Cricetulus griseus: one gene and its partners. The protein of the gene in region 1 interacts with the protein of each later gene in a pairwise test. Links are inferred from orthologs where the notes say so. Each region holds a gene or a part of one and is shown on either strand. Other genes may lie near its edges.

Region 1 (4,253 bases):
CCACCTGTCCTCGTCACAGCCCTGGAAGGTAGGTCCTCTTATGACCACCTTCCCCATATTATAGCTAAGGAAGCTAAAGGCTCCAGAGATGGAGTGATCAGTCAGGTAACTTGGGAGGAGGCAAGCATTTGCCCCATTCTCCATCCTTGGCTCTTTCTGCTTTGCCTTATGGATTTCCAGTGGCTGTTATAATTACCAAGACTTGGCCAGTAAGCTAATTCAGTGGATAAAAACACATGCCACTAATCCCAATGATCCGAGTTCAATCCCAGAACCTCCATGGTGGAAGGAGAGACCCTACTCCCATCAGTAGTTGTCCTCTGGCCTCTGTACTCACACCGTGGCACATGCACACACAAAATAAGCAAACAAAAGTCATCTTTTAAAAAAGTACTAGCCAAGCATGGTGGCACATGCTTTTGGTCCTAGTACTCAGGAGGCAGAGGCAGGAGAATCTCTGTGAGTCCCAGGTTAGCCTCGTTTACATAGTGAATTCCAGGACAGCCATAACTACATAGAGATGCCGTCTAAACAAAACAAAACAAACAAAAAACCCACACATACAAACAAGTACTAAGCTCAGTCCCTAAGAAGCCTCTGCCCTCTATTGTCTGTCTGCTCTAGAAGCCTCAATGGAACACTGGCCATTAAGGCTCCCAAGTCAACAGTACAACAAATCCTCTCTCCACCACCTTGCTTTGGGCTTCTCCAGAGGGCTAAAGCCTAAGGCCAGACAAGTGAGTTTTGGACTGTGCTAGAGAGAAGAAGCAGGCTGCTGGATTCAAAGCCTGTACCTTGGGTGCAAACAGAAATATCAGCACTTGCCTCATTCAACTTTGGTTCAGATCCCAGAAAACGTGGGAGAAGGTGAGAGTGCATGGATTGCTGGGCACAGGCCAGGTGAGGAGTCAAGGCTGGCCCTGCCAGGAGGTAGCCTATGACTGTTATCAGACCATTATTGGTTTTGTTATGAACACTATCAATCTGTGATCATCTGTGTCAGACTTCAATAGAGGCCTGGGGCCTGGTCAGCATGGCAGCCATCTGCCATCTGTCCTTGGGGGAGCTGAAAGCTGGTCAGAGCCTCTGGGAACCCCATGGTGTGGGCCTGGTTAGAAGGAGCATAGCTGCTGTGGGTTACCATGGAGACAGGGAGGCCAGGGCCCAGGGGAGCCTGCAGACTGCTAAAGGGAACTGCTGGGAGCTGTAGGAGAACCACGTGACTGTGATGAGGCAGCAGGGGTCCCTGGGGTTTTGGAGAATTTGTCATGTCCCTAACCCCTCTAAACTATACCTTGTCCCCAACTCTGAGCTATCTCCAAGTCACCCGAACCTCTTTCTCCAGCTTAGGTCAAGTGCCCCGCCCCCCCAATCAAAGCCCCGGTTATCCTGGCAGGCAAGAAAAAGATGTGCGTAGATGGCCAAGGGCCGAGGGACAAGAAGAGTGTCATTGAGTTAGCTGTTTCCGTGTGCCAGGAACCGGCCAGTACCTAACATGGCACACCATGACCCATTCTTTGGTACGTGTGATTTTTACATCTAAGCTGTAAAATCTAAGATAAAGTGCCAAAGGCACAGAGTAGTTAGGAAACTTCCACAAGGTGGTACAGCTAAGGACTGGAGCAAAAGCTTGACCCTAGGTGTGGATCCAAAGGCAGGAAGCTCCTGACACCACACTGACAGGATATGGGGAATAAGGGCAGAGAAGGGAGCTGTGTTCTGGGCTAGGTCATCAATACACCGTTCCTTTCACACATCCCAGGGCTGGTGTGAACAGCACTTTCAAGACACTGGGAAGGGGAGGCTCTGAAACAGAGACAACATGGGTGGGTAAGTGCCCTGGTATCCAAGGAGCTCTGGGTGCCGGAGACTGGGCATCAGGTGGACATGATTCCTGGGGGGAGGAACAGGGCTGAGGCTTATGTGCAGGCAGGTGGGACTGGCAAGGAAGGACAATCAGCCCTGCATCCAGGAGCAATATAATCCAAGCATTTGGTGGACATGGTGGGCATGGAGGCTGCAGGTGGAGAAGGCAGCTGGCGTGGAGATCCCGGAGGGAGAGGCAAGGACAGGTGGGGCTTGGGAGAGAGCCTGCACAGCTGGCAGCTTTCTGGCCTCAGAGCAGGGCAAGGAGGGTGAGTCACTGCAGGGTTGAAGTGGGAAGGATTACTTCCTGGTATCCAAGAAAGCTGAGAATTTCCCCAGCCCTGCAACAGCCCCACCCTCAGAGATTTGGGCATCTGGACTCCCAATCTCCTCTCAGACTCAGGGGCCCAGGCTTCTGCAACCAGGCCTAGGGTAGCGCCCTCGACCTTCACTGGATGGATTCGGGGGCTTTACTGCTGTGCCACAGGCTGCAGCTGCTCAGAAACACCATCCTTGCTTCATGGAGGGTTGAGCATAGAAAAGTCTCTCAGGAAAGCTCCACCCCAAGAGGCCAAGATGTCAGGGATGGCAAAGAGGGGACTTGGAGGACACCCACCCCCAACCCCATCGAGTCCCCTCTGCCCACCCTGCCCCCACTGCCAGGAAGAGAGCCAGCCATCTCCCCCTCCCCCCCTCACACACAATGTCACTTCCTGGTTCTCACAGGAAGCTGCAGTGCCAATTAAACTCTCTTCATGCCCCCAAACCCCAGGCCGGGCATAGGCCTGGTTTAGCCAAAAAAGAATAAGGACCGGCATTCCAGCCCGCCTCCGGGCTGCGGGCCTGGGAAGAAGAGTGAGCGCGTTCCTTCTAAGCCTCGCTGTCCTGCCTTTTGCCAGCGGTTGTAGAGCATCCCCGTGGGCATGTTTAACCCTTAGATTTCTCAGCCCGCCCCAACCCCTCTCTCTAACCACCCCATCCGGACCGCCAGCGGCGCCCACCTGCACACGGTGATCAGGTTCCTGCGCTCCACGATCACGTTGCGGGAAGATGCTTTCTTGGAGGGCAGCCCCAGAGCCATGGTGGTCTGCACAAAGCTCGCTTCCATTCAGATGTGCGGCCACTGCTGCCGACGCCCGCTGCCCCCCACCCCACCCGGAGCCCTGGCCCCCCTCGCAGGATCACGGCTGGGCCCTCTGCCCCCCGGGGCCCTTCGTCCTCTTCACTGCCATCCCTCGGCCTCGACGCCTGGTGCCTGGCCCCTTCGCTCCCTCCCCCGGCAGCGATTCCGGAGCAAAACAAGGCCGGGGAGGGAGCTCTCCGAGGTGCTGAGCCGGGGCTCGCCACCCCCTCCCCCAGCCGCCCGCTCTCCCCCCCATCAACCGGTGACGTCAGGGCCATAGGGCCCCGCCCCCCGGCAGCTCGGGACCAATCCGCCAAGGGCGCAGGGCTTGGGGGGAGGGGAAGGACTGTGGCCCCTGTGAGAGCAGAGGGGGGTCCCCCGGAGAGAAGGACCCTATTCTCCACCCCCACACTCAAGGCTGGGGATCCCTCGCCTGGCGTCTCAGTTTTGAGGCTTCTTTCCCTAGTTTCTAATCTGCAAGCGGTGGTGTCTCTCTCTGGTCTCCCGCTGTAGCCCGAAGAATGGAGACCCTCACCTCCTGCACCATTTTCCGCCCTGCCCCCCACCCCCCATTCCACCCAGGCGCTTCAGCCAGACGTGGGCCGCTTTCAGAGACTGCAGATGGCCTTGAGGTGCTAACCCAGAAACTAAATGCAACCAGAGGCTGCACTGCACGTCTGTCTGTGTGTGCGGGGCGGGGGTGGGGGTGCGTTCCTTTGCAGTAGCCAGCAAGCCAGTCTCTCCGCGGGTGGAGGATGAGAACCCAACGAACCGCCTGAGTCCAGAACGTGAAACCACTCAGGATAGGGATATGGAGTTACCGGCAGTTAGGCACCCAGGACTCCATGGGGGTCCTCAGCAGCAGCCACCCCAATGATCAGTAGATTTAAGAGTTAATCCTTTGGCTGCCTACTTTGCTGCAGCCGGGGAGGGGGGAGGGGAGGTAAAAAATGGTTAGCTTTTAGCTAGGCTGGACTGAAGGCAGTCTGGCTTCTCTGCCACACTTGGCTTCCATGCTGTTTCTTCATATTCCTGATCGCCTGCTCCATCCCTGATAAACCACCTTCAGGATCCGAACATCGCTCGTGTTCAATTGGGTTGCTCCTGTTAATGCGGAGTGTAAGACTTCTCAATACATTTCGGCTATCAGTGCCTTATCAGATCTTATCAGACCATTTTCTCAGGTTCAGTGGATTGTCTTTTAAAATAGTCATTTAATACTCAAAAAAGAAATGTTCATGAAATCCAATCTGGTGTTGTTTTT
Region 2 (4,604 bases), on another chromosome or scaffold:
TGTTGACAGTTTTTTTTTTTTTTTTTTAGTTTTTTGAGACAGGGTTTCTCTGTGCAGCTTTGGAGCCTATCCTGGCACTCACAGAGATCCTCCTGCCTCTGCCTACTGGGTGCTGGGATTAAAGGCGTGCGCCACCAATGCCCGACGTTGTTGACAGTTTCATGTAGCTCAGGCTAGCCTGGAACTTGCTAAATAGGAAGTGTGACTTTGAATTCCTAATCTTCTGCTTCCTAAGTGCTGGGAATATAGGTATGCAACACCACGCCTAGTTTCTGGGATACAGGGTATTGAACCAGGGCTTCAGGAATGCTAGGCAAGCATTCTATCAACTCAGCTATATTCCCAGTTCCTACAGATCACTTGGTTTGGGGGCTGGAGAGATAGCTCAGTGGTTAAGAGCACTGGCTGCTCTTCCAGAGAACCCTGGTTCAATTCTCAGCACCCACATGGCAGTTCCAGGGTATTCAACACCCTCATACTGGCATGAGTGCAGACAAACACCAGTGCACACCAAGGAAAATGAAATACAATCTATAAAAAAATACTTGGATCTGTCCTCTATTCTGTAACATCACTGTAGGCCAGCTTAATTTTGGCTTCCATTACTAAAGATTCCTACAAGGCCCCTTTGATTTTTTTTTTTCTTTTTTCTTTTGTCATCAGGCTAAACATCACTGCACTGAGTATTTGTGTCTTGTTTGTAATAGTGTCACTTTGCTGTGTGTTCAATACATATTACTCATTAGCTAATGGTTATTGAACAGATGGGGTGGAAGATACAGGCTTTAATTTGTACTTAATAAAGACAAGAGATGTTGCAAACCACTGAGTTGTACACAGCATCCCTATCCAGCCTATGTTTTTCTTCCTGTTGGGTGTTAACATTCATCTACAGTACCAGAGTCTGGTTTGAATAACTAGAGCCAACAATCTCTTCCAATTCTTTGCCCAGGGAATCAGCAAGTAGCCAGGCAGTGACAGCCTTGGACCCTTGTGCCCACCTTGGAGTTGCAGTCTAGATAGAGATGGGTGGACATCAACAATATGACCAACATGGGTGGGTAGAGGACAGGAGATGTGGTCTTGGTAGGATCTGCTTAGGCAATGGAATCAAATCAACTCACTACAGCTGGACTGTGGAGTGCTGACTATTGGCAGCCTTGTTCGAAGCTCAAAATACCCGAATTGGACCTATCTAGGAACATCCTTACCCTCCAGTGTCCCTCCCATTTTCTCCTTTCACCAAAGCTGCAGTTTTGGTGAAAGCTTGAGATAACTCAGCAGTGACAGATAGTTAACTCCATCTACTGCATAGTTTTGGTTGAAACTAGGCAGGTCAGGAATGGAGCCAGGGATAAGTACTGTCTGTAGGGTCAACTCCAAGCCTTTTCCTGTCGACCTTCAAAATCTCTGGCCATTCTTGTTCTGTACACAAGAAATTGAGAGTGATGAAATCTGACAATTGCAGTTCTCTTTAATTTGTGCTTAAAAAAAAATAAAGATCCGTTTACTTATGTATGTGAGTGCTGTTTGCACTGTATGCTTGCATGATAGAAGAGGACATCAGATCCCATTGTAGATGGTTGTGAGCCTCTATGTGGTTGTTGGGAACCGAACTGAGGATCTCTGAAAGGGCAGCCAGTGCTTCTAACCGCTTAGCCATCCTCCAGTTCCTTAACCTGCACTTTTAATGCTGAAAGATCCACCCCACAGCTGTAGCAGAGCCAGAGGACAGCAGGAAGGGTTGAGAACTAAAGACCCTGGACTAAATCGCGCTGTAATGCTGTGCGCGTGAGACTGTGGGGAAGAAGTCACCCTGTCCCTATACCCACGGAAAGACTCCCTTCTAGAGCCGGACTCCGAGGCAGGAGTACTTAACTCTCTTCCGGACTGACCGCTTCCGATTCTGGCCAGGCCGCGGAGCCGAGTGGGTAACGAGCGGCCCCACCCGTGGCCACTTCCGGCGTCAGCGGCTGACGCGATACAGAAGAACAGGTCGTACGGCCAATGGGGTAGAGGCGGCGGTGACGTGTAGCCAATGGGCGGAGGCGGGGCAGGGCGGCCGGGATCGTCTCGAGGAGCCGCCCTCCGGGAAAGCCCCGAGAAAGAATCGGCGGCACAAAATGGCGGCGGCGGCGGCCGGGGCTTCGGTGTTGGCGGCTCCCGCGTTGGCGGCCGGCTCTTCCGGCTCGGGGGGAGCCGCCCCAGGGTCTCAGGGGGTGCTGATCGGTGACAGGCTGTACTCAGGCGTGCTCATCACCTTGGAGAACTGCTTGCTCCCCGACGACAAGCTGCGCTTCACGCCGTCCATGTCGAGCGGTCTCGACATCGACACAGAGACTGGCCTCCGCGTGGTGGGCTGCGAGCTCATCCAGGCAGCCGGCATCCTGCTCCGCCTGCCGCAGGTAAGGGCGCGGCCACGGGCTTTGTAGGTAACCGTCCGCCGGTCGGCCGACAGTGCCAGGCCTTTGTTGTTGGCTTGGCCCACAACCAACCGGGCCTGGACCCGGCCCGCACCTCAGCCTTGACATAATCCTCCCGAGTCCGTGCTTCGAACCCGACCGCTGACCGCCTTGGAGTGGGGCCCGCTCCCGGACTTTCCTTCACCCACCCACCTCAGGCGAAGGTCCTTTATTACAAACCCCGGCACAGCCTCGCAATACAGAAATTCTTTGGGGAAACGGAAACTGTCGTGGGTATTTGTCCTGGGCGCGGGAGGGAGGCGGGGGACGGACTACACAAGACATCTCAGCCGGGACAGGTTTGAGGTCTGCCTTCAAAAGTGATGGAATCTTCTCCGTCCTTAGGTGGCCATGGCTACAGGGCAGGTGTTGTTCCAGCGGTTCTTTTACACCAAGTCCTTCGTGAAACATTCCATGGAGGTAGGCTTCCTTCTGTTTTATCAGACTAATGAATTGGGGGAAACCTGGCTTGTTCTGCCCTACGCTTAGTGAACTGAGTTCTGTCCTCCAAAGTCTGTACAGTTCTCTCCCTGGAGGTCTGTCTCTCTGTACCTTCTGTTTGCTCCTAATAGTTTTTAACGCCCTGGAAAGTCTTCAGGTTGGGGAAAAACATCTGTATCCCAATGTACATTTCAGCATGTGTCCATGGCTTGTGTTCACCTGGCTTCCAAAATAGAAGAGGCTCCAAGACGAATCAGAGATGTCATCAATGTATTCCACCGACTTCGGCATCTAAGAGAGAAAAAGTGAGTCCCTCTTGAGAGCTGTCAAAGGTCTGTCGTTGTTAAACCAACCTATGGGTTTGACAGGAGTTTGTTGACTAGTGCCCTGGATGCTTTCTGCGGGCAGTGATAGGGGAGCACAATAAGCAGAATAGCTGGCTGTTGTAGCCCTGCTGGAACAATTCCTATGTGGCCACATCGGCTCACGGCACTATTGTCCTGTTTTCTCTGTGGTTCTACTTAGAATCGCCACTCCCCAGACCAGTGGTTCTCACTCTCAGCACTGTCACTGTCTGAGCTGGTGATTCTCTGTTAAGGTGGTTGTCCCAGAAATGTATTATATTGACCAGCATTCCTTGCCTCTCCTTGCTAGAAACCGTTTGTATGGAGATATCCCTAGACACTGTCTTTTTTGTTACCTGATCTTGCTATGTAGCTGTCATGGGCCTGAAATGTAGGTCAGGCTGGTCTCAACCTCTAAGAGCCCCATCTCAGTCTCCCCTTATGTTCAGATTACATGAGTGAACACACTCATCTCCCAACACTACTTTCTAAAACACCGATGGAGAGCTGAGCATGGTGGCACACGCATTTAATCCTAGCATTCAGGGAGGTGGAGGCAGGAGGATCTTTTAAGTTTGAAGTCAGCCTGGTCTACAGACCTAGTTGCAAGACAGCCTGGAGTACACAGAGAAAACCTGTTTTGCAAAACTACAACAAACAAAAACAAAAACCAACCCACCCTTGGAGCAGATCTGAAGTAGAGGTCCGAGCTTCATCTTGGTGACTGAGAGGTGGAAGTAGGAAGGTCAGGAGTTCAAGGTCATCCATCCATCCATTCTCAGCAACATAATGAATTTGAAGCCATTCTGGAATACATAAAACCCTATCACAAAAGAACACAAAACATAAGAAGATCCTGTCTCAACAATAGGTAAAACCCAAAAGCAGTAGTGAGGTGGCTCAATAGGGTTAGGGTACTTGTCACCAAGCCTGACAACCTGAATTCAATTCTGGGATCAACATAGTAGGAGAGAATTGACTCCCACAAGTTGCCCTTTGTCCTCCACAGGCATAACCCAAAAACCAAACAAATGAAATACAAATTTTAAAGAATATGCACACAGGGTTGATGAGATGGTTTAATGAATAAAAGAGCCTGCTATCAAGTCTCAGGACAACCAGTTTCCACTTGGTAGAAGTAAAAGGAGGCAACTGACAACATCAGTCCCCTGTACAAAGTTAAAAAGCATGGTCCCTAGTTAAGGACTGTCCCCTAGACCTTAATCCAGACTGCCTGTTCTTTTTCACAGAAGTCCTGTAGTTTTGTTTTGTTCTGCTTTTTTCTCACTAGAGTCTTTCTATGTAACCTTAGTTGGTGGAACTTTATGTAGATTAAGCTGGCCTCTCTCAGTTGGTC
Region 3 (4,386 bases), on another chromosome or scaffold:
CCTCGCCAGCCCCGCCCCTCCAGCCCCCCCTCGCCAACCCCACCTTCGCCAGACGCGGCCCCGCCCTCGCCCCCGCCCTCCCAGTCCGGCTGCCGGGCACCGCCTCCACCCTGGCCAAGCGCCCGAAGAGTCCTGATTGGCTCAGCCTAACTCGTCATGCATCTCCCGACCTGCGATTGGTTACTCCAGCGTGCGCAAGCGCAAACGCCCAGGCCCGCCATGCTCCGGGGCGGGCGTTGGCCCAGCCTAAGACCGAGTCTCATCCCGATTGGTTAACAAGATGAGACGTCTTTTTCTATTGGCCGACAGCGGTACGCTCGCGTCCAGGCACGTGACCCGATTGGTTGCAGTGAATCCAGCTTCCGCGCCAACAGTCCCCGTGGACATTGCCGAGGGCCCCCCAGGCCCCCCCTAGCTTGCGCATGCGCGCTCCAGGTTTCCCAGCTGTCAGGGTGTGGGAGGAGCTCGGCTTAGAGCAAACCTCGGGGGGCGGGGCTAGAGGGTGGGGGCGGGACCTCGACGTCATCGGGCGTAGACTGCCTGTGGCCTGGGCGCCGCCGCCGACTTGCTGGTGTGAGTGGGGACGGCGGCCTCGAGGCTGTCGTCACGCGTCACACGAAAAGTGTCCTAACGCCGACGGGCTGGGCGCTGTCATGGCGTCCCCCAGCACGGCCCGCACCTTTTCTGTCCCCACGGGCCCTCCCTCCGCTAGTCGCCATCTCGCCGGCAAGCTGCGAGCGTGGGAGTGTGACGTGGCCCGCCGAGGGCGGAGGGGGGGGAGGGAGGGAGAGGGGAAGCGCGCATGCGCACGCCCAGCAGCTGTGCCTGTGAGGCTGGGTGTTGCCGGACGTCTACGGCGGAACCCTGCTTCTGGCAGCGCGACGACTGCGCCGCCGCGCGTGCGCGCGGCCTGTCGCTAGGTGATGGCGCGAGAGGTGGGGCTTCGCCTCGGCCACGCCCTGACGTCTGGCCCCGCCCCGGCAGCGGCGCGGCTGAGGCTCGGGCGCGCGCTCCGATTCCCTGGAAGCGGCGGCTGGGGCTGGGACGAGGCGCGAGAGGCGGGGCTTCGTCTCGGCCCCGCCCCTGCGTCTGGCCCCGCCCCCGGCAGCGCTGTGTCTGCGGCTGAGGCTAGGGCGCGCGCTCCAGTTCCCTGGAAGTGGCGGCTGGGGCTGGGACGAGGCGCGAGAGGCGGGGCTTCGCCTCGGCCCCGCCCCCGGCAGCGCGGCGACTGGGGCTCGGGAGCGCGCTCCAGCGCCGGGGAAGCGGCGGCGGGGGCTGGGGGGCTGGGGCTGGGCGTGGAGGCGCGAGCGGCGGGCGGGGCGCGGCGGGGCGGCGGGGGGCACTGCGGGCCGGCGGCTCGGGCGGCTCCGGCTCGGGCTAGCGCTCCCTCGCTGCTGCCGGCGCCCTCGGCGCTGTTGTGTTGCCCGCCTCGGGCCTCTCCCCGGGCGCGCGGCTCGCCCAGCTGCCGCCCGCCCCCGCCGTGGGCGCCTCCGGGCGCTGTCGCGCGCGGCCGTGAGCCGGCGTGTCCGCCGGGGCGGCGGGGCCGGGCCGCGGGTCGCGCGGCGGGCGGGCGGGCAGGTCTATGTCGCGGGCGGCGGCGGTGGCCGCGCGGGGACGATGCGCGAGTACAAAGTGGTGGTGCTGGGCTCGGGCGGGGTGGGCAAATCCGCCCTGACGGTGCAGTTCGTGACCGGCACGTTCATCGAGAAGTACGACCCCACCATCGAGGACTTCTACCGCAAGGAGATCGAGGTGGACTCGTCGCCGTCCGTGCTGGAGATCCTGGACACGGCGGGCACCGAGCAGTTCGCCTCCATGCGGGACCTGTACATCAAGAACGGCCAGGGCTTCATCCTCGTCTACAGCCTGGTCAACCAGCAGAGCTTCCAGGACATCAAGCCCATGCGCGACCAGATCATCCGCGTGAAGCGGTGAGCACAGCGGGCCCGGCCGGTGGGCTCGCCCGCTCGCCCGCCCGAGGCTGCACCTCCTCCTCCTCTTCCTCCTCCTCCCCGGGGCTCCCGTTTGCGGGCTTTGTTGCACAACTAAAATTGGGCAATCCCGCTAAACCCCAGCTCGGCCGTCCCTTTGTCTCGAGGGCATCGGTAGCGCTTGTTCTGTTGGCGGGGCAAACAAAGTTTCAAACTTGCCAGGAGGGAAGGGGTGAGTAGGTGGGCGCGGGGGACCGGGGAGGCCCGTGTAGGCGCGCCTGTGCCGAGCGAGCGAGCCAGCGAGCGCACGCGCGCTCAGATCCACCCGTGTGGGGCTTGACAGCCCAAACTTGCACATACGTATTCCGTGACAGTGTCGATACGAGCTGAGAGGCCCTTTCTCGTTGCGGAAAAGGTTAGATGTTGCCAAGAGGTTGGCAGGAATGAATTCGCGCAAACTTTAAAGACCCATCGTGAAATAACTTGAAGGTCTCACCACCTTCAGCAGGGTTGGCATATACAAGCACGCTCATGACATTTACATTGAAAGAACGAAGCTCCCCTCCCCCTCATAAAATCTACCCTCTTTCCCCGCTCAAAAAAGCATGGAGGCTATTCTTGGAAACCAAACAGACGTTTAGTGTAAGCGGTGGCTTTTCTATCAGCTACTTTAAAGTTAATGTGTGTGTGTGTGTGGGGGGGTAGGTGATGCAAACAAGCTTTCCCTGATGTAAACTGTTGAGGGGATGCATTTTGGATGTGGCTGGTAGCCTGAATGCTTTCAATGTTTGTTTTCTCTTAAGTTGTATTTTCCCCTTAACTTTTAAATATTGGAAATCTAACCTGTTTTTGCAGAGTTTTGCAAACATTTCCTAGCTCTTAACTGATAACTTTCTTTTCTGATCCCTGTCAAATAATGCTGCTGATGATCTTTGAGGATTCTTCTATTTGTATCCAAATTTGAAGTCACTATTGGAAGTTTAAGTAGACACAATTATATTCATCAGTCAGTTAGGGTGTACTCGTTTCAGAGCCCCGAGCAATTTATTTGTATTCAGGGAATACTCAAACTTCATGACAAGTGGTGAGTTTTTAACCTTGTACTTGAAGTCAAAGGACGTGTCTGGTCCTCACTGCCTCTCCCAGCTACTTGACTATGCATGTTAATAGCCAATACTAAAGGTTTCTGCATTCCATTCCTGTGTTCAATTCCAAATTAGACAACAGTGGATATTTCTGCCAGCTCTTCCCAAAGCTGGTGACTCTTACAGCTTTAACTTCTCTAGTCTTACTCTTTAGACATTTGTTTCCATGTGTGGTACTATGCTTGTGTTCACACATGTGGGTGCATTAATGCATTTTCTTGAAGTTGTCTATAGATGTAAATAATGATCTAAGTGCTCCAGCTGTCTGGCCTGAAACACAGGAGCATGGTGAGATCCTGGCTGGGGTGCCCTACACCATGCTGTAGTTCCTGTCACTCAGGAGCATGGTGAGATCCTGGCTGGGGTGTGTACACCATGCTGTAGTTCCTGTCACTTAGGAGCATGGTGAGATTCTGACTGGGTGTGTACACCATGCTGTAGTTCCTGTCACTCAGGAGAAACATGGTGAGATCCTGGCTGGGGTGTGTACACCATGCTGTAGTTCCTGTCACTCAGGAGAAACATGGTGAGAGCCTGACTGGGGTGTGTACACCATGCTGTAGTTCCTGTCACTCAGGAGCATGGTGAGATTCTGACTGGGGTGTGTATACCATGCTGTAATTCCTGTCACTCAGGAGAATCATGGTGAGATCCTGGCTGGGGTGTGTACACCATGCTGTAGTTCCTGTCACTCAGGAGCATGGTGAGATTCTGACTGGGGTGTATACACCATGCTGTAGTTCCTGTCACTCAGGAGCATGGTGAGATCCTGGCTGGGGTGCCCTACACCATGCTGTAGTTCCTGTCACTCAGGAGCATGGTGAGATTCTGACTGGGGTGTGTACACCATGCTGTAGTTCCTGTCACTCAGGAGAATCATGGTGAGATCCTGGCTGGGGTGTCTACAACATGCTATAGTTCCTGTCACTCAGGAGAATCATGGTGAGATCCTGGCTGGGGTGTCTACACCATGCTGTAGTTCCTGTCACTCAGGAGAAACATGGTGAGATCCTGGCTGGGGTGTCTACACCATGCTGTAGTTCCTGTCACTCAGGAGAAACATGGTGAGATCCTGGCTGGGGTGTCTACACCATGCTGTAGTTCCTGTCACTCAGGAGAATCATGGTGAGATCCTGGCTGGGGTGTCTACACCATGCTGTAGTTCCTGTCACTCAGGAGAAACATGGTGAGATCCTGGCTGGGGTGTGTACACCATGCTGTAGTTCCTGTCACTCAGGAGCATGATGAGATCCTGACTGGGTGTGTACACCATGCTGTAGTTCCTGTCACTCAGGAGCATGGTGAGAGCC

The links.
Region 2: the proteins of Rundc3a (region 1) and Ccnl2 interact in binary tests that used the Homo sapiens proteins (3 or more experiments, as listed by UniProt). The two-hybrid records come from large-scale screens. The link is inferred for Cricetulus griseus from reciprocal best matches to the Homo sapiens genes RUNDC3A and CCNL2.
Region 3: the proteins of Rundc3a (region 1) and ras-related protein Rap-2a interact in binary tests that used the Homo sapiens proteins (3 or more experiments, as listed by UniProt). The link is inferred for Cricetulus griseus from reciprocal best matches to the Homo sapiens genes RUNDC3A and RAP2A.

Annotation. Positions count from the first base shown.
Region 1 is NC_048600.1:115,705,738-115,709,990, forward strand, and holds the start of Rundc3a (RUN domain-containing protein 3A), read right to left. Parts: upstream 2,948-4,253; coding exon 2,868-2,947; intron 1-2,867. UniProt on the Homo sapiens protein: May act as an effector of RAP2A in neuronal cells.
Region 2 is NC_048595.1:468,622-473,225, reverse strand, and holds the start of Ccnl2 (cyclin-L2), read left to right. Parts: upstream 1-1,789; 5' UTR 1,790-2,123; coding exon 2,124-2,405; intron 2,406-2,807; coding exon 2,808-2,882; intron 2,883-3,098; coding exon 3,099-3,208; intron 3,209-4,604. UniProt on the Homo sapiens protein: Involved in pre-mRNA splicing. May induce cell death, possibly by acting on the transcription and RNA processing of apoptosis-related factors.
Region 3 is NW_023276807.1:270,427,476-270,431,861, forward strand, and holds the start of ras-related protein Rap-2a, read left to right. Parts: upstream 1-1,571; 5' UTR 1,572-1,617; coding exon 1,618-1,931; intron 1,932-4,386. UniProt on the Homo sapiens protein: Small GTP-binding protein which cycles between a GDP-bound inactive and a GTP-bound active form. In its active form interacts with and regulates several effectors including MAP4K4, MINK1 and TNIK.